3 linked regions of the Notamacropus eugenii genome follow. The protein of the gene in region 3 purifies or fractionates together with the protein of the main gene of each other region. This does not show direct contact. Links are inferred from orthologs where the notes say so. Each region holds a gene or a part of one and is shown on either strand. Other genes may lie near its edges.

Region 1 (7,480 bases), on a different chromosome or scaffold from region 3:
ACTCCCGCTTTCAGTGGAGCAAAGGTTGGGTGGAGAGGTCGATGGCAACGAGTGTGGGGAGGAAAGACTGAATCACCGGGCTGGCTCTCCTGGTGATTCAGGAATAGGCAGAAAATAGCCAGGGCTTCTCCCCATTGTCAAGGAATGTGGTACTTCCTCATTGCATTGCAGAGCAAATGGGAGGAGAAGGAAATGAAACTATTTGTGGACCTATATCTATACCAGCACCTAGCCTATACAAGGTATCCCCAAAGTCTTTTAAGTTTTAAAAACTTAAAACTGCACGAAAACTTTTGGAAAAACCTGCATTTGAACATTTCAATCATTTTCTTCCCCCTCTTTTTCCTACTATAAGAATCCTTAAGTCAGGATCCATAACATTCATTTTTATATTCCTAGCAGCCTCTAGTATAGTAACTGAGGTTCCAGTCCCCTCCCTGGACCCTCGAATCAGAATGCAAATAGCAGACTAAAGGGCAGAGAAGGGTGGTCTCTGATTCTGTCATCCTTCCCTTACCAATTGTGCTATATCCAGAAGCATCCAAGAATTAGATAATCCATGAATGAATTTGCTGTCCTTCATATACAAGGTGACACCATTAGGCCACCACAAACAAGTTGGCTGTCATACTGAATAGTTTTTTTCTGTTTAGTCCTGTTAGGTTTACACTATACTTTCTTACTCTGTCCCTCTTGTGATTATTAATATAGCGGTGAAACAGATTGGATGGTGTAATCTTCCATCATGGAATCCTGAGATTTTGACCTCCATTGTACTCATAAAAGCAATTTCACTCACGACATCTTTACTCTATCACTCAGTGTTGGTCTTCCAAGCACCAGCAGGGATTGTGCTCCAAGCAGTCCATAAAAACGGAGGAAACCCTTGGTAAGGTGTCTTGAATTATTTGAAGGGCTGATACTATAGAACGGGGATTAGATTTTGGAGTATATCTAAGGTCCTTTTGATCTACATATCCCTTATGCTTGGCCTGGGTGTGGGGGGTAGGAGAAAGAGTGATAGAAGTTTGGGAGAGACAGATTTAAAAGTATAAAAATTTATCATAAAAATAGTTGAGAGAGAAGGGATAGTACAGATCATCTTATCCAATTCTCTCATTTTAAAAGTGAAGAAAGTAAGAGTCATCCTGGATCCTCTCTCTCTCTCTTTCACACATACACACACACACACACACACACACACACACACACACACACACACACACCAATCTGTTGCCAAGGCAACATTTTTACCTTTTTTTACCTTTTGGATTTTACCTTTGCAACATCTCTCAAATTCACCCCCTTGTCTCACTGTTATTTAGCTGGGGAGGGTTCAGTCATGTCCAACTCTTTACGACCCCATTTAGGGTTTTCTTGACAAAGATACTGTGACTGATTTGTCATTTCCTTCTCCAGTTTATTTTACAGACGAAGAAACTAAGGCAAACAGGGAAAAGTGACTTGCCCAAGGTTACATAGCTAGTAAGTGTCAGAGGCTGAATTTGAATTCCTTAAAAGGAGTCTTCCTGACTCTAGGTACTCTATCCACTTCATCACCTAACCACACCTAGACTATTGAAGTTGGTTGGTTGTTGTCCTTGGTTCTCCACGAGGACCAAAATGACATTACTATGATAAACTCAAGTTACAGTGTGTCCAACTGTGGCTGATCAGACCCATACGAGCTCAGAATGCTCTACCACAGGTTGGGCACAGATAGTCCATGTGAACATTTGGGGTAGATACTCCAAATTTGCACATTCTACATTTACTTTGTGCTGTCTCAATTCTGCTTTGCTCATAGAGCACATCACCCTTTCTGATGTGGGCATGCCATGCTGAGCAGTCCTGTGCCAGTCCCATAATCAAATCTAAAGTTCTTGAGAGAGACCTTGAGAGCATCCTTGTATCACTTCTTCTGACCACCATGTGATCACCTGCCCCATGTGAGTTCTCCATAAAACAGTCGCAAATGTACATTTTGCATTCAAACAACGTGGCCAGCCCATAGGAGTTACACACTCTGAAGCATAGTTTGAATACTTGGCAGTTCAGCTCAAGCAAGGACTTCAGCATCTGATACCTTATCCTGCCAGGTGATCCTCAGAATCTTCCTAAGACAGTTCAAATGGAAATGATTCCGTTTCCTGGCATGGTACTGGTAGGCTGTCCATTTTTCCCAGGCATACAACAATGAGGTCAGCACAACAGCTCTGTAGACCTTCAGCTTGGAAGTCAGTCCAATACCTCTTCTCTCCCAAACTTTTCTTTGGAGCCTCCCAAACACTGAGTTAGTTTTGGCAATGTGTGCGTCAACCCCATTGTCAATGTGTACATCCCTGGAAAGTACACTACCAAGGTAAGTGAACTTATCCACAGCATTCAAAGCTTCTCCATTTGTATAGATGGTGTGCTGATGGCTGATAGAGCACCTGTGTTTTCTTGGTGTTAATTAGGCCACTATTGAAACAGCCCACTGGTGAATATGTCTGCTTCAAGTCTCTCCCTGCTCCAATTCATCCTCAATTCATCCACTAAAGTGGATTTCCTAAAATGCAACTCCAATCATGCCACATCCCCTACTCAATTAACTCCAATGGCTCCCTATCACCTCCAGGATCTATCTGGCATTCAAAGCCCTTTATAATCTACCCTCCTGCCCTCCCCACCCCACACAGTCTTCTTTGTCTTTCCAGTCTTCTTTGTCTTTCCAGTCTACTTGTATCTTACAATTCCTCATACTTTCCATACTCTACGTGCAGTTCTTCTGAGAGATACTCCATCTCTTATCTCTGAGCATTGTCACTTGCTGTCCCCCATCCCTGATGTGATCTCCCTTTTCACTTCTGCCTCCAGGCTTCCCTGACTTCCTTCAAGTCCTAGCTAAAATCCTACTTTGTACTGGAAGCCTTCCAAATTCCTCTTAAATCTAGTGTTTTCCCTCTATTGGTTAATTCTTGTTTATCATAGGATATGTGTGTATATGTATTACACATACACATGTGAGCATGTATATACATATATGACATGTGCATATATCTTGTTTTTGCATAGTTGTTTGCATTAGATTGAGTTCCATATTGTGGTGATTAAAAAGTTTGAGAAGCATAGTTTCTGGGTAATTTAATCATTTTATTAATAAGGTCAGCAAGTTTTTAATAAAAGGATAGTCCTTTGGCTGTCTCTCTTAGACCAAAGATGTTGTTTGACCTTTGTTCTGAAAGAGAACCAAGACATCAGAAAGATGATGCCATGACTTGCAAGTGAATTGATTTGAGAGGGAAGTCTGTGCAAAGTCACCAGCCTCACTCTCTCCTCCTCAGATATCTGGATCCATTGGCAAGATATAGATCAGGACCAGTGCAGATGGCCCCCTTGGAGCAAAAACAATCATGGCAGTGCGCTCGCAGTTCATATACCCTTCAAAGAAGAGGTGTTCAATGGGGGGCTGAGAGTGACATCATGTTACCCTTGGAGAGAGAAACTATCTCCAAACTCAGTTCACCCGCAGCTTTGGGCTATCTAGACCAAAGGATCTACTTCCACCCAAGTTTGAGTAGAACACAATGGGCTCCCCCACCTTAGATTAAATTCCAAGCAAGTGGGGTAAGATCTGACCAAGATTAATTCAATCTCATCAGTAATGTCCTTCAAGAGACGGAACTTGAAATCAGGACTTTGGAAGATGGAAGGCTCTGAATCTTCCCAAGATATTGGTTATGTCTACTTCCCCACTTACGTACATACGGGCATATGGACATATGTCCACGTTTGCATATCTATATTTGGGTTTCACATAGTTGCTTGCACGTTGTCACCCTCCTGAGCTCCTTGAGGGTAGGATTATTTTTTTGGCCTTTGTATCCCCATAGCACATGGTGGGATCCATGTCTATTGACAGCGCTAAACCTTGGGAGGTACCAAAAAAAAAAAAATCAGTCTTTGCCTTCAAGGCATTTGCATTCTATGGGACCATCCCACTGCACACTCAGTTTCCACCACCCTCCCACTGCCAACACGTGGGGTCTGGCTGCAGGCAAGGCCAAGGTCCAGACCGGAAGGGCGATCTGCTGTCCCCCTTGGCCGTTCCCAAGGCATCTCCGCTAGGGCAGCCAAGGACAAAGAAGAGTCTCGTTCTTAAAGTGAGTACCAGAAGGAGATCACAAATGAGAGTATTAGTGAGCTGGGCGATGGAATCCGAATCCTAAAGCCCAAGCCCCGCGGGGCACAACTGCAAGCCGGGAACATCATCCCGGGAAAGAACGCCAAGTCCTTCCCGCTCCGTCGAGGACCAGGCGAAGGCATGCACGCCCCCTGCCGCGGCCCGGCGAGCGGCGATGGAGCCCAGCAGGATGGGGCGCGAGAGCCGAGCCGCGCGCCAGGCTGGGAGGAGAGCTCTTCCCGCCGGAAGTGACGCGAGCTCAATCCCTGCCCGGCTCTCCCCAAACAAAAGGGATCTTGGGGCCCGGGGAGGAGCCTGAATGACATTGGAGAAGCCCCGCCTCCGCCCGGCGGGCATTGGTCAGCGAGCCGCGAGGCTGAGGTGACAATTGGTCCGGGAGGCTGTCAAGGCACGGACCCGGCGGGGGGAGGGAAGGAGGCGGAGGGGAGGCGAGGGACCGTGGATGGGAGGCGGGAGGCGGAGGTGGCGGGGAGCGGAGCCCGAAGCGCCGGGGAAGAGGTAGGAGCCACTGGGCCGGGCACTTGGGGATTGCGGGGAGACCGGGGTCTCGAGAGAAAGGTGAGGGTGGGACTGCCGGCCTCCCCCCACCCCGGTCCCTAGCACCCCATCCCCTGAGGGGGCGGGGCCCTCCTCCTTCTCTGCCCGCGCCCCCCATTCCTAGAGGAGGCGGCGCCCCAACCTTTGAGGGGATCCCCGGGCCCGCCCCAGCTCCTGTCCAGCCGCAGACCCCTTCCCCCGCTCCCCATCCACCCCCTACGGGGAGCCCTCCCCTCTGCACCCCTCTCTGGAAGAGGGCTTCCCCGCATCCCCGCCCCTCGCCCCTCTCAGCCCCGACAGTCCCCTCCCCCCAGCCCGCCACCTGCCCCAACTCGGTCCCTCCCTCCCTGTCCCCTCCCCATTTCGGTCGGTGCCCTCACACCCACCTGCGTCCGTAAATGAAAAAGACCTCCCCATCCCAATGCCAGCCCGGCAGTCGGCCCCCCGGACCTCGCTTCTCCCTCGAGCCGAAAGCCCTGGTTTTCCTCCCCTTCCAGCCCGGGGAGGAAGCCCATGTAGCTGGCCTGGGCAAAGGGAGTCTCCCGGGCTTTAGAGCTGCCCCTCCCTCCTCCCGTCCCCGCTTTGGGGGAGCCCAGGTCGGTCCTTAGGCTGCGGTCTTGTGGGGTTTGCTGCCTTTGATCTCCACCTCCCTACTCCCTCCACGAATTCCCTGGGGAATTCGAGGTTCCTCCTCCTTGTTGGGGCCTCGCCGCTGCCCAAGTTGGCTAATTGACGGACTTGACCGAGTGTGTAGAATACAAACAGGCAGCGGATAACTTAGGATCCTTCGTGGGGACGCGCTGTAGGAATGTGAATAAGGGACCCAAGGTTGGCCGGTTGCTCTGGGATACTTGGATCCCCTTGAAAGGTGTACATCTTGAAACAAAAGGCAGGAAGTGTTTCAAGAAAATCCTGGTCCAGTGGTGGGAGGGTTTATGATTAATCTGGTTTAATGGCCTTTGGTTCCTTTCTTCTCGATCCACACCCACTATTAGATGCTGCAGATCTTTTCTATAGTTGAAAATATAGTAAGGTAAACGATGTAGTTTGGTTCACCTGCAGAATCGCAGTACGTTGAACAAGGTAAACTGCATATGCCACTAAGGTAAAGGATATTCTGAGTGTACACTCCAGAAAGCATTTATTAAGCGCCTACTCTATGCCGATAACCACTGAGCTAAGCAGTTAACACATATTTCATTTGATCCTCGCAACAATCCGGGAGGGAGGTGCTACATTATTACAGTTGAGGAAAGGGAGGAGGACAGCGATGGAGTGATTTGCTTAGGTTCACTGCTAGTGTCTGCTAGAGGATTTTCTGAATTTTAGGTCTTCCGGATCAAATTCAGCACTGTGCCGCTTGCCCAACCCTTATTTCTTTCCATATTCTTAGAGATCTTGTAGTACAATCTCTTCATTTTACAGAGTGGTGCAGTGACCTCCCGCTAAAGTAAGGTAGTCTGAGAGGCAGAGACAAGACTCAATCTCAGGCCTTCTGACTACTAGTCCAGTGCTTTCCGCTCACTGTAATTTATGGTATGTGGTTAGTATTTTGGAATTTCCATTAGCATGAGTGCCATTGGACTGTCAGTGGACATCCAATAGGGTAACACTTTGCATGTGTAACAATTCATCATACATTTTAACGTTACTTCCTTAATTTTCACTTGTAAGTTACCCTTAATGTTGGTGTAGTGTTATGACAAAGTGATTACTTAGGACCAGTCACAGAGGGTGTACATTTCCCGTAGATATTATTATTGCTTTTACTTCTAAGTCAAATCAATAAGCATCATTAAATACCTATTATTTGCTAATAATAGGGCAGCTACATGGTAGGCTAGGCCTACAGTGATGAAGACTTGAGTTCAAATTTGACCTCAGATACTTACTAGCTGGGTGTTAAGTAACTGGACAAGTCACTTAAGCTTTGTCTGCCTCAGTTTCCTCTTCTGTAAAATGAGCTGAGAAAGAAAATGGCAAGCCATACCACTATCTTTGCCAAGAAAACATTAAATAAAGTCTCGAAGAGCAGGACACTACTGAACAACATGTGCTATAATAATAATAGGTAACAATTCTATGGGACCTTAAGGTTGGCAAAGCACTTTACAGATGTTATCTCATTTGACCCTCACTGCACTCTAGTGAAATAGGTGCTATTATTATCCCCATTTCCAGGTGAGGAAACAGAGGCACTAAGAGCTTAAGTGACTTGCCCCAGGTTATACAGCCAACTGTGCAAAGTGGAGGGGATACTGAGAAAGTCAATTCCAATTACAAAGTACATTTTAAACTTCCCCAGGGTAATGATTTGTGAGTTGTAGATTTGGAGCCTTCAATCCTTCTACAGAGATCTATTTAAAGATTGTTCTCAAAAATCATCAGAAAGAGCAAAAAAGATCTGAGGCTGGTTGGAAGCACTTGGAGAGTTGTTTACTATGTACATAGAGAAGTATATGGAGAGATTAATACATGGGCGCCTCAACTAGAGCTACAGAAACTCAAAGGGAATGATCAGGCTCATCAAGATGCAGAACAAAAAAAGATGACAGACATAAAGCCAAAGAAATGAATTGCCAAGGCCCATCACGCTATTGGATTATTTGGCAGAGTAAATAAAAACTGGCATTTTGTATGTCTTGGTCATCATTACAGCACCTGTTTGGTCTTGTTCATCTCAGAGAAAGACTGAGAACCTGTCACCTTGGTGTAGACCTACCAAGATAACTCTTTGATAAGATGAGGCCTATCATG
Region 2 (7,997 bases), on a different chromosome or scaffold from region 3:
CACTTGCAAGAGTTGGAATATCAATACAGTGAACAACTAAAGAAAGTATGGTAAGAGAAATCCTATGAAATAAAACTGGAATGGTAGGTGGGTGCTAGTTGTAGCATTCTTTAAATGTGTTTTATAGAGGAAACAGGGGGCCATCAGAGAGTTTTGAGTAAGGGGTATGTGGAAAACGGATTAGAGGATGTATCTGCAGGTAGGGGTATCAGTTAGAGGGCAACTGTAATAGTCTATCAGAGCATATAAAATCCTGAACGAGGGTAGAACAGGAAGGAGAAAAAAAGAGAACAGATGAAAGAGATGTTACTACAGTGTTTGGCCTTAGGAAGCACTCAGTGAATCCTTGTTAACTGACAGGGAGGAGACAGTGAAGAGGAGGGGGAAACAGCAAGACTTGACAAGTCACTGGATTTGTTCGTGGAAGTCAAGTCATTTTCTCCAAAACTGAGACTACAGCCCATAAGGATGGTAGTGCCCTCAAAAGAAACCAAAGTAGTATGAAGGAGGAATAGATTTTTGGGGAAAGATAGTTGGACATGTTGAGTTTAAAATGCCTACGGGACACCAGGCAGTTAGCAGTATAGGACCAGAGTTCAAGAGAGAGATTAGGGTTGCATACACAGATTTGAGAGTCATCTGCTGAGACATCATCATTAAGGTGCTATGACTGAAAGATATACTTTTCTGATAGCAAAAACAATATTCTTACCTCCAGTTGGGCTAGTTTTTCCTGAATCTTGCAAAACTGGTCGTCATCCACCTGAACAGCTTTCCTCATCACTTCTCCCATTTCACAGATTCTATCAATCTGACTTTCAATTTCCTGTTAAGATATTAAGTATATTAATTCTGCACTGCCTGTAGGAAGAATAACAAACAAAACAAAAAGTAAAATGCTTATGAGAAGACTGAGTAACATCATCCCAGTTAATCAATATCTCACCTATCTAATCAATGGCTGGACCTTTCCATATCTACATGCCCATATCTTTCTAACCCTTCTTGTCTTGAAGGGGTCTGTCTCTGTCTCACACTATACTGTAATCTATAGCAAATGCTCTTCAAGTTCCTATGTATTGGCTTTCTCCAGCTAAATGACAAATTCCTCAAGTACTTGAATAGAAGCTGTATTTCTTCCACTCTCTCCTCCCTGAGTCATTAAGGATTCACTGAGTACTTCCCACCTGGTCAAATACTGTATACTCTGTAAGAGCTTAAAAAAAAAAAAAAAAAAGCTTTTTGAATGACTACAGTGAAAGGTCTTACAAACACTTGATATCATTCAGGGTAAAGTAAATACACAGCTCTGACCTCCATAAACAGTCCATAAGAATGCAATTATTTCCGCTATTGATTCTTCTCTTTCATATTTACCACTCTTTTATGGTATAAAATCATAGCAAACACAGGCCTCAGAGCAAGGATATTATTAAAACATTAACAATAAAGTGATAAACATAAAAAGAAAGATAACTTTTCTTGAGGAAAAAAAAATCCTACTATCCCTGCCAGTTCTTATCCTTTATATTTCTCTTTCTGAGTTAAACTCCTTAAGAAAGCTCTCTATAGGGCAAGAAATTTATAAAAACAATTTCTAGATTCAATTCAATTTAACAGATATTTATTGTGAAACTTCTTACTAAAGAATGAGACTGGTGGGCTTTCAAGACAGGTTCAGCATCCACTGCTTTTTTAGCAATCATTAATTGTAGCATCTGTTTTCTGTACTTGCTCATGATGAGTTCCAAAGCATCCTGGTGTTCCTCCAAGGAAATCCACAACTCTATCAAAGAATAAGTAAAATAAATTGGCAGTGATATCTGAGACAGTGAAGAATCTCCACCCCATCGGAGACTGAAAAACTTAACAGCATATTTACCCCGACTAATGGTGCCTATAATTTTAGCTAATGTTCCATACATTACTAATCAAAGCACTTTAGATTCCTCTTCAACAAAAATTTATGATACTCTATGGTATATCTATGTTTATATACACATGTATGTATGTATATACACCTATAGATACACATACACACATTTAAATTTAAGTAAAGTTGAATAACATTTTAAGGATTTCACCAAGAAGTAGGAAGTCACTGCTTTAGAATAGTGAACTGAATTCATCTGAAAGTACTGTCCTTCGCAGAAACAACTCATATTTGTTCAATAAGATCATATTCACATTCGTAATAACGGGTTAAAAAACACCCTTGAACAGTACTTACTAAATTAAGACTTCTCCATTACCTACAATACTGAAAAGGATCATCTATTGACTGTTCCTATTTTCTACGAAGACTGTTATTTAGCAACAGACTTGCTTATTAAACTCACCAGTTGGGAGGTGCTGCACTGTACTCCCGTTCGTGGCCTGCGTGGGGAATAAGCTGGCCTAAACTGTGGGTTCGAAAGCGTGGCATTTGGGGGAGAAAGGCTGCTGCGCTCACCTCGGTTCTCCTGCTGCAGGTCTCGGATCTGCGTGTTCTCCTGGGACAGCAGGATGTGAGGCTTGTATCTGGACGCGTCCTTCAGGTCCGCGGCATCCTCCTGGTACTGGTAAACAGACAGACCAACCCCCGCCCAAGTCAGGCTAGAGCGGAAGGAGTCCGGCCCATCCGGGCAGGGAGGACCCCCCACCTCCCGCCCGGCCCCCGGGCCTAGGGCTGACCTGGTCCGGCAGCGCGGCGCCCGCCTCCCTCATCGCAGCCACCCGCCGGTGCAGGGCGGCCGACTGATCCACCAGGGACTCGGCGGCCGCGTCGTGCTCCCGCAGCCGCTCCAGAAGCGTCTTGGCGTCCGTCAGGATCTTCTCGATCGTGCAGCTCATAGCGGAGAACCGGGCCAAGGCGGCCCCGCAGCCACGCCACTCACCGATGCCTACGCCGCCGCCGGTTCCGGGTCTTCCGCCCACTGCCGCTGACTTCACTTCCGTAAGCGAAAAACACCCGCGCCGCTTCCGACAGCCTCGGGAGAGTCTTCCCTTGGCTCCGCAGACCGAGGGCCTCGGCCTTGCGCTTGCGCACGGCGCTCCTGCCCGGGCGCTGACCTGCGTCTCCTAAGAACCGCCCCTCGCTGTCAGGAGCGGGGGCGGGGCCAACTACGTAGGGCGGGGGGCGGGCTTTCTGTCCGGCGCCCGGGACTAGTCACTTAACCCTCTCAGCTTCAGTTTCTTCATTGCGAAAAGGATATCATGCTTTCACATTCTTTCTTGTGATTGTTAAAGGCCTTACTGGGTGTAAAGCATAGTAGTAGTGTCCCTATTCAGCCTTTGCTACTTTAGCCAGATGTGTATTTCTCTTTCTATATATATATATATATATATATATATATATACATCCATATGTGTATATATGTGTGTGTGTGTATATGTGTACGTGTATATGTGTGTATATGTGTGTGTGTGTGTATACATATATATGTATACATTCTTGCCCAAATTACTTTTATTTTGCTACAACACTGACCTCACGGGGTCATTATGGGAATCAAATGGGATAGTATATGTAAAGCCCTTTGCAAACCATAGAGGTTTACTGCTTACTGTTATTATTGTAGAGCATGAGTTCATAATTTGAGATCCATGGAACTTGTCTGTGAATAGATTTTGAAGTTGGATGGGAAAAAAATTACCTTTTTATTTCAATATAAATGGTTTTCTTTGTAATTATATGTATTTTGTTTTTTGCATTTGAAAACATTCAGAGAAAAGGCTCCATAGGTTTCATCAGACTGACAAAGGGGTCCATGACCCAAAGTAGGTTGGAGACCGCTGTTATAATTTTAGAAACGCTGCTAGCCAATGGGTCCATGCATTACAAATCAAAGCATCTTAGATTCCTGTTATCCAAAAATGTATGATACTATACAGCATATCTGTGTGTATACACACATTTTGAGAATTTCTACGAATTTGGATCCCTAGTTCTGTTTCTGCTATTTGCAGGACTGCATTTGTGACTTAATTACATAACAGGTTATTTTAGTCTCTGTTCTGTGGAAAGTATTCCCACAAAGGGTTTTAATGTAGATCTTTTTTTGTTTGCATATTATTGATTGCTAAATGTAATAGTCCGATCATGATGGTGAATAAATGTCTTTAAAAAATTAGGAACAGATATGGTTTTATCAATGAAAAGGACACTAAAGGAGATTCCTTATCATTTGCCATGTTCCTGTACCCTAAGAACCTACCATGCTTTTCCATTTGACTTGTAGCTGAAACTTCCCATATGTACTGTCCTTTCCCCCTTTAGAATGTGAGCTCCTTTTCTATTTTTATCCCCAAAGCTTAGGAAAGAACTTTGAACATAGTAAGTGCTTTTTCATTTTACATAAATGCTTTTTCATTTATTCATTCTAAAAACCTGTGACTCAAAGGGTCCTCTCATTAGTGAAAATTGATTACACAGTGGTTCATGCCTGCTTGAGGGGAGGGATTGGTGGGAGTCTGAGAAGGGAAAGATCCTGGTCTTCTGGCTTCCAGATTTGTTCTAAACTCCCTTCAGATCCCTGAAGCGAGTGAAAGACTCTGGAAAGCAACCAACATATTGCAGAGCTGGCACTCTCTATTATGTTCCTATCCTCAACTTAATACACTAGGGATTTCAGGGAATTTCCCTTAGGGTGAGATCTGAGACTCTTTAAGTTGAGCTGAGATTTTTCGCTCCCATTGGGAGAGTTCATTTACTCTGTATTGTCTGGTATGTTTTCTCCTGTGAATATTTTTTTCTGATTTCTCTTTTGTTATAGACTCAGGTAAATGGGTTTATTTGCTCCTTGTGGAACTGATATTTGTTGGCAAGGGAGTCAAATCTTGGATACAGAGCTTTGGAACACTCGTCTATTAAGAGAACAATCAGGAGCTTGAACCTAAAATATATCCCCTTTAGACTAACAATATTTAGAGGAACAGAAAAATATGGTTCTATCCCAGTGTTCTTTCTTTGAGGAGACCAGAGTGGCGGGTCTCAGGCCCTAATCTCCTGTTTCTTCTCCCTGAGGAAGATTCAAAGTCTTCCTTAGAGAAGAGCTTAAGGAGTGGGGCAGGGGAGATTAGAGATACCTATTCTTGATTATCTATGAACTACATCTTTATGGACCCATGTAGGCACATATAATCTTCTTGGGCAAAACAACAAACAAGGCACCACACACATGCTGACAAGTCAATTATTTATTCATTCAATGGAAGGGGTGTGTCTGAGTCTCTCTATAACCCCTAACATTGATCAGGAATTTCTTTGTACCTCCTAAAGGAGGAAGAAAGAATGAACACTTCTTTTATTTCTTTTACTAACTATGAATGCAACCACTATGTCACCAGGTATAGGTGGAATGATCTCTTTGTGTCCAGGAGGCCGGACAAAATTAAGCTGAAGGTCAAATTTAGTCCATAAAACAGAGATATCCCACTCATGCTCTAGAGTCTTTGGTGATTGCTTGAAAGACCATGTTTTGCTGGTGATGAGTTGTGATGAAAAGAGGGACAGAAAGTCCAAAGGAATCATAGAGAACAGAAGGAAAGAAGAATTGGAGAAAAAAAATAAGTAGATAAGGTAAAAAATAATGTTCAAGTGTCACCTTTGAGAGTCATTTCTTGAGTGTTCCTCTGTCCATGCAGCCCAACAGCTCCCCCTTCCTGCCTCTCCATCATTCTGGAAGAAGGGAGAGAGAGACAGATAAATAGAGACAGAAAGAGAAAGACAATGTGCATTTAGAAACTAGAAAATCAACAATAAACACAAAAAAAGCAAAAAAAGAGTAAATATTGAAAGAGAAAGTGGAAAACAAAGATGATAAACCTAAAAATAGCACCATTGAAAATATACAATCAACAAACCTTTAGCTAAGGTTATTTTCCTAGTTATCAAAAAAAAGAGGGAGGGAAATAAAATGATCAGAATAAAAAAATCAAGTAAAGTGAAATTATAACAGAGCAGAATTTAAAAAAAATATAATCAGAATCACTTCACACAATTATATACTATCAAAGACAAGAGACTTTAAATGAAATAGATTATCTATTAAAACATAAAATACTTGAATTAACTGAACTTCAAATAGAAATCTTAAACAACCCAATCGTAGGAAATGAAATTGAAAAAGGCATAAAGGAACTATCAAACTTTCTCTGTCTGTCTGTCTGTCTGTCTGTCTTTCCCCACCTATCTATTTTCTATAAAGAAACACTTTGGCCAAGGTAAATTTCATCAAACAAAAAAAGAAAGAATGTCCATGATACATAAATTATTCTCAAAAATTAAGCAAACTTATCAAATTCTGATCCTAAACCATAAAGGATAAAGCAAAGAAAGAGAGCTATAGACTAATATGACTAATGAATATTTATTAAAACTAAAGTAAATTCCAGCCAAAAGACGATAGCAACATAGACAAAAAACTATTTACTATGAAACAATTGACTTTATGCCAGGGATGCTAAGATGGTTCAAAATTAGAAAAAGAAAAAATATTAATTATATTGAAAAACAAAGAAAGGCAGCATGATTCAGACTCAAGAAGACCTTCAAAATCGGGAAAACCTGAGTGGAAGTCTTGTCTCTGACATGTGATGGGACATGCAACCTTGGGCAAGACACTTAACCTTTAGCTCTCTTATACTCTAGGTTGCAGACCAGATGATGATCTGAATTCAGAGAGGGATTTTCCTCATGAGGTCTTCCATATACTAATGAAATTGCATGTGTGGTCCAAAATCTGTTCCCATAAAAGCTATATCATTATAGAAATAGGTGTGGACAAAACCTTTAACAAAGTAAAACATTCATTTAAATTTAAAAAATACATTTAAAGTATTGGTATAGAAGGGCCACTTTTTATTATGAAAAAAAGTATGTATGTTAATCTGAAAGTCAGCCTTTTTTTGCCATGGGGAAGCACTAGAAACTGGCCTAATAAATACAGAACTCAAATGAACTTATCTTCTATCCCTACTCTTATTTGACATCATCCTAGAAAAGTTTGGGGTTCTAGAAGAGTCAAGAAGAGAAGAAGTTAACTCTGTCTGCACACATCAATCAATCAACAAACATTTTTAAAAGTACTAGATTCTGTGCTGACTACCTAGATGGTGCAATGGATAGAGTGTGGAGACTGGAGTCAGGAAAACTCATCTTCTTAAGTTCAAATCTGGCCTCAGACACTTACTAGCTGTGTGCCACTGGGCAAGTCACTTAACCCCGTTTGCCTCAGTTTCCTCATCTGTAAAGGAAATGGCAAATCACTTCAGTATCTCTGCCAAGAAAACTCCAAATGGGGTCATGAAGAGTTGGGCATGGCTAAAAAAAAAATGACTGAACAAAAATTGGACTAAGTTACTGCTTTCAATTTACATTCTATCAGGAGTGTCAAAAGTGAATTTTGGGGGAACTAACTGGTCTTTCCGGAGCTGACATAATTAACTCCAATCTGTAATCACCATTTTACCATGTATTGCCTTAGTGTGTAATATTGCTAGACTTCCTTGAATGTCTCCTTTAATTGAATGTCAGACTTTAGTTACTATAAAAGGATTTTTGTTTGTTTGCTTTTGCAAAGAAGGACTCCAATAGCCTTGATTTGTCTGGCAGGTGATGTAGGGTTCCCTTTGATCTGTTGTGAATAGCTATGCTAACAAGGGCACATTCCTCCTTTTCTAATAAGTGATTAACGTCTTCTTTTGTTATAACAAATACTTCTTCTTCTTCTATGTTCTGAACAACCCTGTTCTGTAATAAGCAGAACATTGTCTCACGTATTACATGAATGATAGACTGGTATAAGTATCGTTAGTTGAGTTGTAACAAACATACGTGTTCATCATCTATTGCTGGAGTGAGTCTTTCTCGGAGTAAATAAATTGCAGTTTTTCCTATGTCTGTTTCCTTTGCTGTTTTATTGCCAGGGGCTAGTTAAGATCCTAAAAGAATTCATGCAACAGAACAAACAAGTATACATATGTGTATATAGAATGGATCCAAAATAACATAAGGT
Region 3 (7,145 bases):
CCAAAAATGCTCACCACTGTCATCTCTGCCTGAACGCCAAGCCCCCTGCTGCAGACCTTTCAGTCCCACCCACTGTCGGCACTTTCCATCTGAGATGACTTGCCATTTACAGTGTATGTGTGTGTATTCTATATATGACCAGATGAATTGAAATGTGAGTTCCTTGAAGGCAGAGGCCATCGTTTTTCTCCTTTTCTATGGCACCCATTTATACAGAGCTTTAAGATTTGCAAGATTTACATACATTCCCTCACTAAATCATCACTTCAAGCCCATACGGCAGGTACTCTCATTACCTCATTGTTAACCCCATTTAACAAAAAGTGAGACTCAATGAGATTTAGTGATTTGACCAGGATCATACAGCTAACATCTCAATGCAATTTTCAAATCAAGGTCTTCTTAATTCTCAGAATATAACCATTATGCCACGTTGCCTCAAGAACCAGAGGAAAGTGGTGTCACAGAACAGCACAGATTAACAACTACAGGTTAAACAAACAACGTTGGAGTGAAAACTGACATTATTTTAATAATAAAAGTGGTGCTATACTTTTAGGTTCTTAACATAGGAAAAAAATGCTTCTAATTGCAAGACCAAATAAAAATTTAAATTTAAGAGGACCTATACAGACAGTCTTGTACAAGATAAACATTGGAAAAAGAAAAGTTTAACCTGTCAACCTAAGTATTATGAGGTTTAGTAACTGAAGTATCAGAACTGAAACAATTTCTATGTCTTCTTCAAAGTTTTTTTTTTAAACCAGTGACACAAATTCCTTTATCTTAAAGTCAGGAATGTCGGTCAGACTTAAAAGATAGAACAGGTAGTTCGATTTCAATGTCCAGTTTGGGGCCAGTGAACCAGGAGCACTTACTTTCTGGAAAAATTCTTGCTCCTAACTTCCTTAAACTGTTTTTAAAAATTTTTTAAAGGAGAAAGTTATAAGAGCAATTGTCTTGATCTGCTTTTTTAAAAATGTAATTTCTAAAACATATGATTAACTTTGAAGTTTCTTTAGCACTGTATGTCTGAAAACTTTCCATACATCTCCCTAACTGTATTTTACAAAATAATAACCCTTCTGCTATGTAAGTACTTCATCTACAACATCACACAATGAATATTCAAAGTAGCTTGGACCTAAGAGTTATGCTCATGCAGTCAGATATTTATTTTTAGGGCAGTGTACAAACTTAACTGTGGAAAGCAAGAGCTTAAGAACTATGTTGGGGGGGGGGGTGGCGGAAAGAGTGGAGAACTTAAAATTTCATTAAGGAAAAAGAGGCAGATAAGTGATCTTTTTTGTGTTCCTAGTACTGATTTGGGGGTAAAAATCCATTTAAGAGTCATGAGACTACAATCTCTGTGGGGAGAAACAGGGGTGCAATTTGTAATTGAGGAAAAAGGAACATTAATCTGAATCACTTATGTACTGGAAAAGCAGCTAAGAGGATAAACATTGAAAATGAGTGGCTAACTAATTTATAGGACAAGTTTAAAGCCATTTGGAAACACGGAATGCCTCAGCACTTACTGAACTTCTGAGATTCCCAAACTTTATGAATAGTAATAACAATCACAGGTATAAAAACAGAATTGTTAAAAGGTGCCCTTGCTTTATATAAACCAAAGTAGAAATCGTTTTATTTTTAAAGAAATGACTGAGCAATTCACAAGATGTGAAACGATTAAATTTAGGAGAGCTCAGTCTGTTATTTTCTCAAAAATAAGAGTAAAAACTTGAGACTAGGCACTGAAGTCTCCCTGAATTTATCTAAAAGGCCTAGTCATTAGGAAACCCTGCTAAAACCTAGTTAGATATATACACAATAGAAATTACTTTTCCTTTTGAAGGACTTTAAAAAAATCTCTGTGAACTTGCATAAAAGAGGATAAATAAAATGACATTCAAATCCCAATAAAACTTTAAAGGAAACTTTACAGGTGGCTGAAAATCCATGGTCAGGAATGTTTCTGGAAATGTGGGCTGCCTACTACTCTAACACATTTTTCTGAACTTTAAAAAGTTTTCTTACTGTTACAAGAGGAGGGACTGAGGCTTTCAAGTTCTTGGCCTCTGAAAAGAGTTCTGGAGCAATGGGGGGGGGGGGGGGGGAGCGTTTAAGGAAGAGGTGTATGCTTATTTAGAGAAACTAGTTCAGACTTGGACAGTTTTCACTAACTAGCCTGAAATGCAGTCCCAAATGTCTTAACTGTCTTCCTCAACGGCTTTCCAAAGGCTTAACAACTTTGCTTTTGTAAGAAAGCGAAGGTGTTTGTGGGTTGTTGCTTTTTGTTATTATTATTTTGTCAAGGGGGGAGGGGAGGGTGCATGATGAATGATAACGTACAAATACATATTCGTCCCGCACACGCGTCCTCTGCTACCCAGGGCACAAACTTCTCTTTCCCTTAGGAAATGGGGGAGGGGAGGGAGTGGGGGACGGAGGTGGGGGCGGAGAAGGGCTCCCCGAAATCGGGCCGGAGCTCGGATTTCCAGGTGGCGAAGGGGGATGAGACTTCACCGTTGAAGCAGCAGCTCCAAAATGAAAGGAAAAAGAGAGAGTCACCTCTTCTACCCACAGGAAGAGCCCAGTTAGTTCAGCGTCTCCTCCGCCACCCCTGGCCCGGCCCGGCCCGACTCCTGGGGAAGGGCCGTGGGGCCCAGACCCCCACCGAGGGGTTGCCGCAGCCTCCCGCCCGCAGCCCCCGACCTTGCCTTCGTCCCACGGCGGGAGCAGGTGCCCGGAATCGAGGCCCCCATTCCACTGCATCCCAGCCCCTGCCGTCGTACGCCCCCTCGCTCGTGCCGTCCTCCCACCCCCGGCCCTGCCTCCCTGCGGGGAGCCCCAGAGACACCCCCGATCCCCTGGGCCGCGTCGGGCCGCCCCGGCGGCCTGGGCCTCCTCACCTGCATCCCGGGCACTTGCACGGCCACCGGCGAGTGCGCCATGGCGGGGGCGGCGGCGGCGGCGGCTGCAGCGGCGGCGCGGTCCTCTCGGGCCGGCTTCCCTCGCGGGCCTGCCCTGGCGGCTGCGGCGCCGGCGCCGGCACCGCGGCCTGGGGGAGCGGATGAGCGCGGCGTGTCGCCGGTGAGTGGCCCGGGACAGAGAAGAGGGGAGGGCTGCGCAGGTGAGGGGCGCTGCGCGGCTGCGGGCGCCTCAGCCTCCTCACCGGCCGAGTCCGCGTGCCCCGGGGACCGAGCGCGAACAGGAGAGCGGGAGAGCTCCCTGCGCAGCCGCCGCCGCCGCCGCCGCCGCCGCTGCGGCTCCGGCTCCGGCTCCGGCTCCCGCCGCTGCTGTTTCCGACGCCGCCGCCGCCGCCGCCGCCGTCCGGATGAGCTGCGCTCTGCGCTGCCTCGGCTGAGCTCGCCTCGGGCCGCCTGGCGCGCGGCGCTGCGTGTGCGGGGCGGTGCGGCAGCGCGGGCTCCAGTGATGCCGTCCGCCGGCGCCTCGCCGCTTTTGGCAGGCTGGGAGGCGGCGCCAACGGCGGCTGGCCGGCCCGAGGGGCGGGCGAAGGGCGGGCCAGCAGCGAGCCCTGCCCCTGGCCCTGGCCCTCCGGGACGGAACGGAGCGGAACCGGACCGGACGGGACGGGACGGGACGGGACGCTACGGGATGCCCCTAGGCGCTTCAGGGATTCTAAGAAGCGCCCCCACTCTGGCGGTTCCCAAGAAATTGGACCTCGGGGAGGGGGGAAACCCTGGCGGAAGGGTCCGGCGCCCTGAGGGCAGGGGACACGACGCGAGGCAAGATCACCTCTAGAGGCAGGATCTTAAGGTGGAGTGGATGCTGCCGCCGCCCGAGCGGCCAGAGCCTCGAGAGCAAACGAGAACCCCGGGCTTAGCATACTCAGCCTCGCCCACTTTCAGGCCACTTGCTAATGCCCAATTGGAGGGAAAGAACTCTCCCCACTGTGACCTTCTTTTGCCCCGTCAGGGCTTTTGGGTGAAGAAGTGCCATGAGATTGGGTGCTAAGATCACATGTCACATGGGAAAGGGTCCTTACAGAGTTCAGCTCCCCCTCATTTTAGAGTAGAGCGAAACTAAACCCTTCGGAGAACAAGTGACTCGTCCAGGGTCACTCCTTCAGTAGGCCACTATATGGAATATTCCCTTCAACAGCGCTAATCACAACTGATCCACCTTTGCCCATCTTATGTTAATCTGTTCTTTGCCCTCCCATAGGATCACCACAGGGATTCTACCCCTCCTGCAAAAGGTGTGGGTCCTTTCTTGCTTTCTCTGTGCCATCTGACTATACCAGTGAAGCATGTGAGATGGCCCTGGTTCCCACCACATTGCTCACACCTTCTCTGGTCATACTTTGACTCAGTAATATCCCTCAGGGCATGTCTTTGGTTCTAGAGCAGACCAGCATCTATTCTAGCATATGTTAAAAGGGTCTTTAAAAATAATTTTTTTTAACCATATAGTACCTTAGAGTCTTTAAAAGCACTATTCAATTTCCCAAATGGAGTTCAGCCCACTCTTTTCCTCTTGGATTCAAGTTATTGTCCATCAGCAACCCCTATAAGGGTATAGGATATATGTGTTAATGGATGACTTAATGTACAGGCCATCCAACTGCATGTTATCTGGACAATAAGCATTTTTTATCCATTTGGTTTATATTCTCTAAAGTGTTAGGCTGAGCCCTTTTGAGTAACCATGGATCTCACTGAAAAAGACCTCTAATGCTAGGCAATTTGGATGCAATCAGCACAATTTCCCCAGCAAACAGTAGTATCTAGAGGACCTCACCATCTATGGGCAAGATTACTAGGCACACACAGACATAGGTAGCACACACATAAGCATAGCTCCTTGCTCAGACCTCACTCTTACTACCTCAATTTCACACTTGAGGGAAAACAGGCAATTTTTAAGATCAATTGGATAAAATTTTATTTCCCAGGTGACCCGACCCTGTGTTCTCAAAAACTATTCCAGCAGAACAAGGTACTAACAAGCCTGAAATTTAAAGCCAAATCCAATAAAGGGCTTGTAGTTTAAGTGTGAAGGCCCAGCCTAAGTAAAGGCCCATCAAACAAAAGGTTGACTATGCTCGATGTTTTTGGCTACAGCAATTCATAAAGGCTGTCTGCTAAGATATGGAAGGGCTGCCAGGAGGAAGAGGAAGTTCAGGTTTTGGGGGATACATCAAAGTTCCTAACAGATTACCTGATCACAGATTTATAGCTGAAAGCGACCTTCTTTATGACGCATATAGTCGAACTTACTTATTAGACAAAGGAGGAAACTCTGGTCCAGAGATGTCAGGTCACTTGCCCAAGGTGGTTGGCTGTCATCTCTCATTCTTGAAGAGGACCAAAATGCCATCACTATATGTTGGGGTGTGTCTGACTGCTGGCTGCTCGGAATGCTCTGCCACATTTCATATGAGCATTTGCAGTAGAGATGTCTCTAAATTTGTTTATCACATGCTTCATTTGAGCTATTACATTTCTGCTTTACTCATAGAGCACAGTGCCTTCTTTGATGTGGGCACACCATGCTAGGTGGTCCTGGGCCAGTGTCTCTCATGTCTCCCTACTGATTCCAACGTTCTTCAGAGAGACCTTGAGAGTGTCTTTGTATCACTGCTTCTGACCTCCATATGAGTGTTTACCTTGTGTGAGTTCTCCATAAAATAATCTTTTACGCAAATGTTTGGCCAGCCCATCAGAGCTGAGTTTTTTCTGCAGTACAGTTTGAATGCTTAACAGTTCAGCTTGAGAGAGAACCTCAGTGTCTGGTACTTTATCTTGCCAGGTGATCTTCAAATCCTCCTAAGACAATTTGAATGGAAGCCATTCCATTTCCTGACATGGTGCTGGTAGACTGTCTGGATTTCATAGGCATACAATAATGAGGTCAGCCCAGTGGCTCCGTAGACCTTCAGTCTGGTAGACAGCCGAATACCTCTTATCTCTCATGCTTTCCTTCGGAGCTGCTCAAACACTGAGCTAGCTCTGGCAATGAGTGTGTCAACCTTATGATCAATGTGCACATGCCTGGAATGTATACTGCCAAGGTAAATGAATTTATCCCCAGCATTCAAAATTTCTCCATTTGCTGATGGTTCCACATATGGATGGTGTGGTGCTGGCTGAAGCAGAAGCATCAGAGAATCAATCCATACTTTGTTGTATCTCAACCTCAGAGGCTGCATTGAGTGCACAATCATCTGCAAACAAAATGTCATACACTAACTCTCCCTCCCTTATCCAAGGTAAGGTCACGTAGGTAGAGAGATAGGTAGAGTTAGGATTCTAACTAAGGCCCTTTGAGAGCAAATCTAGCTTCCTTTAGCTTCTATATGTATTTAATAAAGGATAATACTCTGTATTAAATTAACCTTGTGATGCTGGACTTCACATTTATTTACCTAACTGACTTGGACTGACCATACTTTTTGATATGAATGTTCCTACTTCAACCACCCCTAGTCACATCACACTTCAATTACTTTTAATAGTCACTGAGCTGGTCTCCCTGACTCTGTTCTCTCCCACCTCTAATTCATCCTTATCTGAGATTAATCATCCTAAAATACATTCTTTCTAAAAGACCACACTCTTCAGAATTTATAATAGCTTCCCATTACCTAATTTCCTAAACTTGTGTAGCCACAGCAGTCCATAAATACTGGCCCAGGAGGTCTGAAGACATCAAATAACCCAAAGAGAAAAGGAGGAGGGGTTTTGTCAAGGAAATTTTGGAACAAACTGGAAGTTAACCTGCAAAAATCATCAAGTATGTTTTCGTTGCATCATTGAACATTTCAGAGGGGAAATATTTCATAGTGTCAAAGTATACAGAGCCCACTATTCATATTGCACAGAAGAACAGATGAAGAAACTGAGGCTTGGAAAGGTAACATCATAAGTGGCAGAGTTGGCGCTTGGACTCAGATTTCTGAAGCCCAGGCCTTGTAGCCAATCTACTACATTTGATATGAATCATTCTAATTGGATAGTAAGGGAAAGGGAAAGAGAGCAACATCTAGTACACTGGGGAAAAGCACTGTGTCTGGAGTGAGAGATGTTGATGTTGCTGAGTCATATATGACTCTTCGTGATCCCGTTTGAGGTTTTCTTGGCAGCAAAGATCCTAGAATGCTTTGCCATTTCCTTTTG

Evidence for each region.
Region 1: the proteins of STK26 (region 3) and CTTNBP2NL purify together in Homo sapiens (affinity purification with mass spectrometry; 4 studies listed by BioGRID and IntAct, with this or other methods). This does not show direct contact. The link is inferred for Notamacropus eugenii from reciprocal best matches to the Homo sapiens genes STK26 and CTTNBP2NL.
Region 2: the proteins of STK26 (region 3) and SIKE1 purify together in Homo sapiens (affinity purification with mass spectrometry; 4 studies listed by BioGRID and IntAct, with this or other methods). This does not show direct contact. The link is inferred for Notamacropus eugenii from reciprocal best matches to the Homo sapiens genes STK26 and SIKE1.

Annotation. Positions count from the first base shown.
Region 1 is NC_092873.1:291,455,663-291,463,142, forward strand, and holds the start of CTTNBP2NL (CTTNBP2 N-terminal-like protein), read left to right. Parts: upstream 1-4,462; 5' UTR 4,463-4,546; intron 4,547-4,554; exon of another isoform or gene 4,555-4,684; intron 4,685-7,480. UniProt on the Homo sapiens protein: Regulates lamellipodial actin dynamics in a CTTN-dependent manner. Associates with core striatin-interacting phosphatase and kinase (STRIPAK) complex to form CTTNBP2NL-STRIPAK complexes.
Region 2 is NC_092873.1:294,108,192-294,116,188, forward strand, and holds the start of SIKE1 (suppressor of IKBKE 1), read right to left. Parts: upstream 3,019-7,997; 5' UTR 2,833-3,018; coding exon 2,674-2,832; intron 2,559-2,673; coding exon 2,453-2,558; intron 1,787-2,452; coding exon 1,644-1,786; intron 827-1,643; coding exon 713-826; intron 1-712.
Region 3 is NC_092879.1:53,710,399-53,717,543, reverse strand, and holds the start of STK26 (serine/threonine-protein kinase 26), read right to left. Parts: upstream 3,035-7,145; 5' UTR 2,958-3,034; coding exon 2,916-2,957; intron 1-2,915. UniProt on the Homo sapiens protein: Serine/threonine-protein kinase that acts as a mediator of cell growth. Modulates apoptosis. In association with STK24 negatively regulates Golgi reorientation in polarized cell migration upon RHO activation.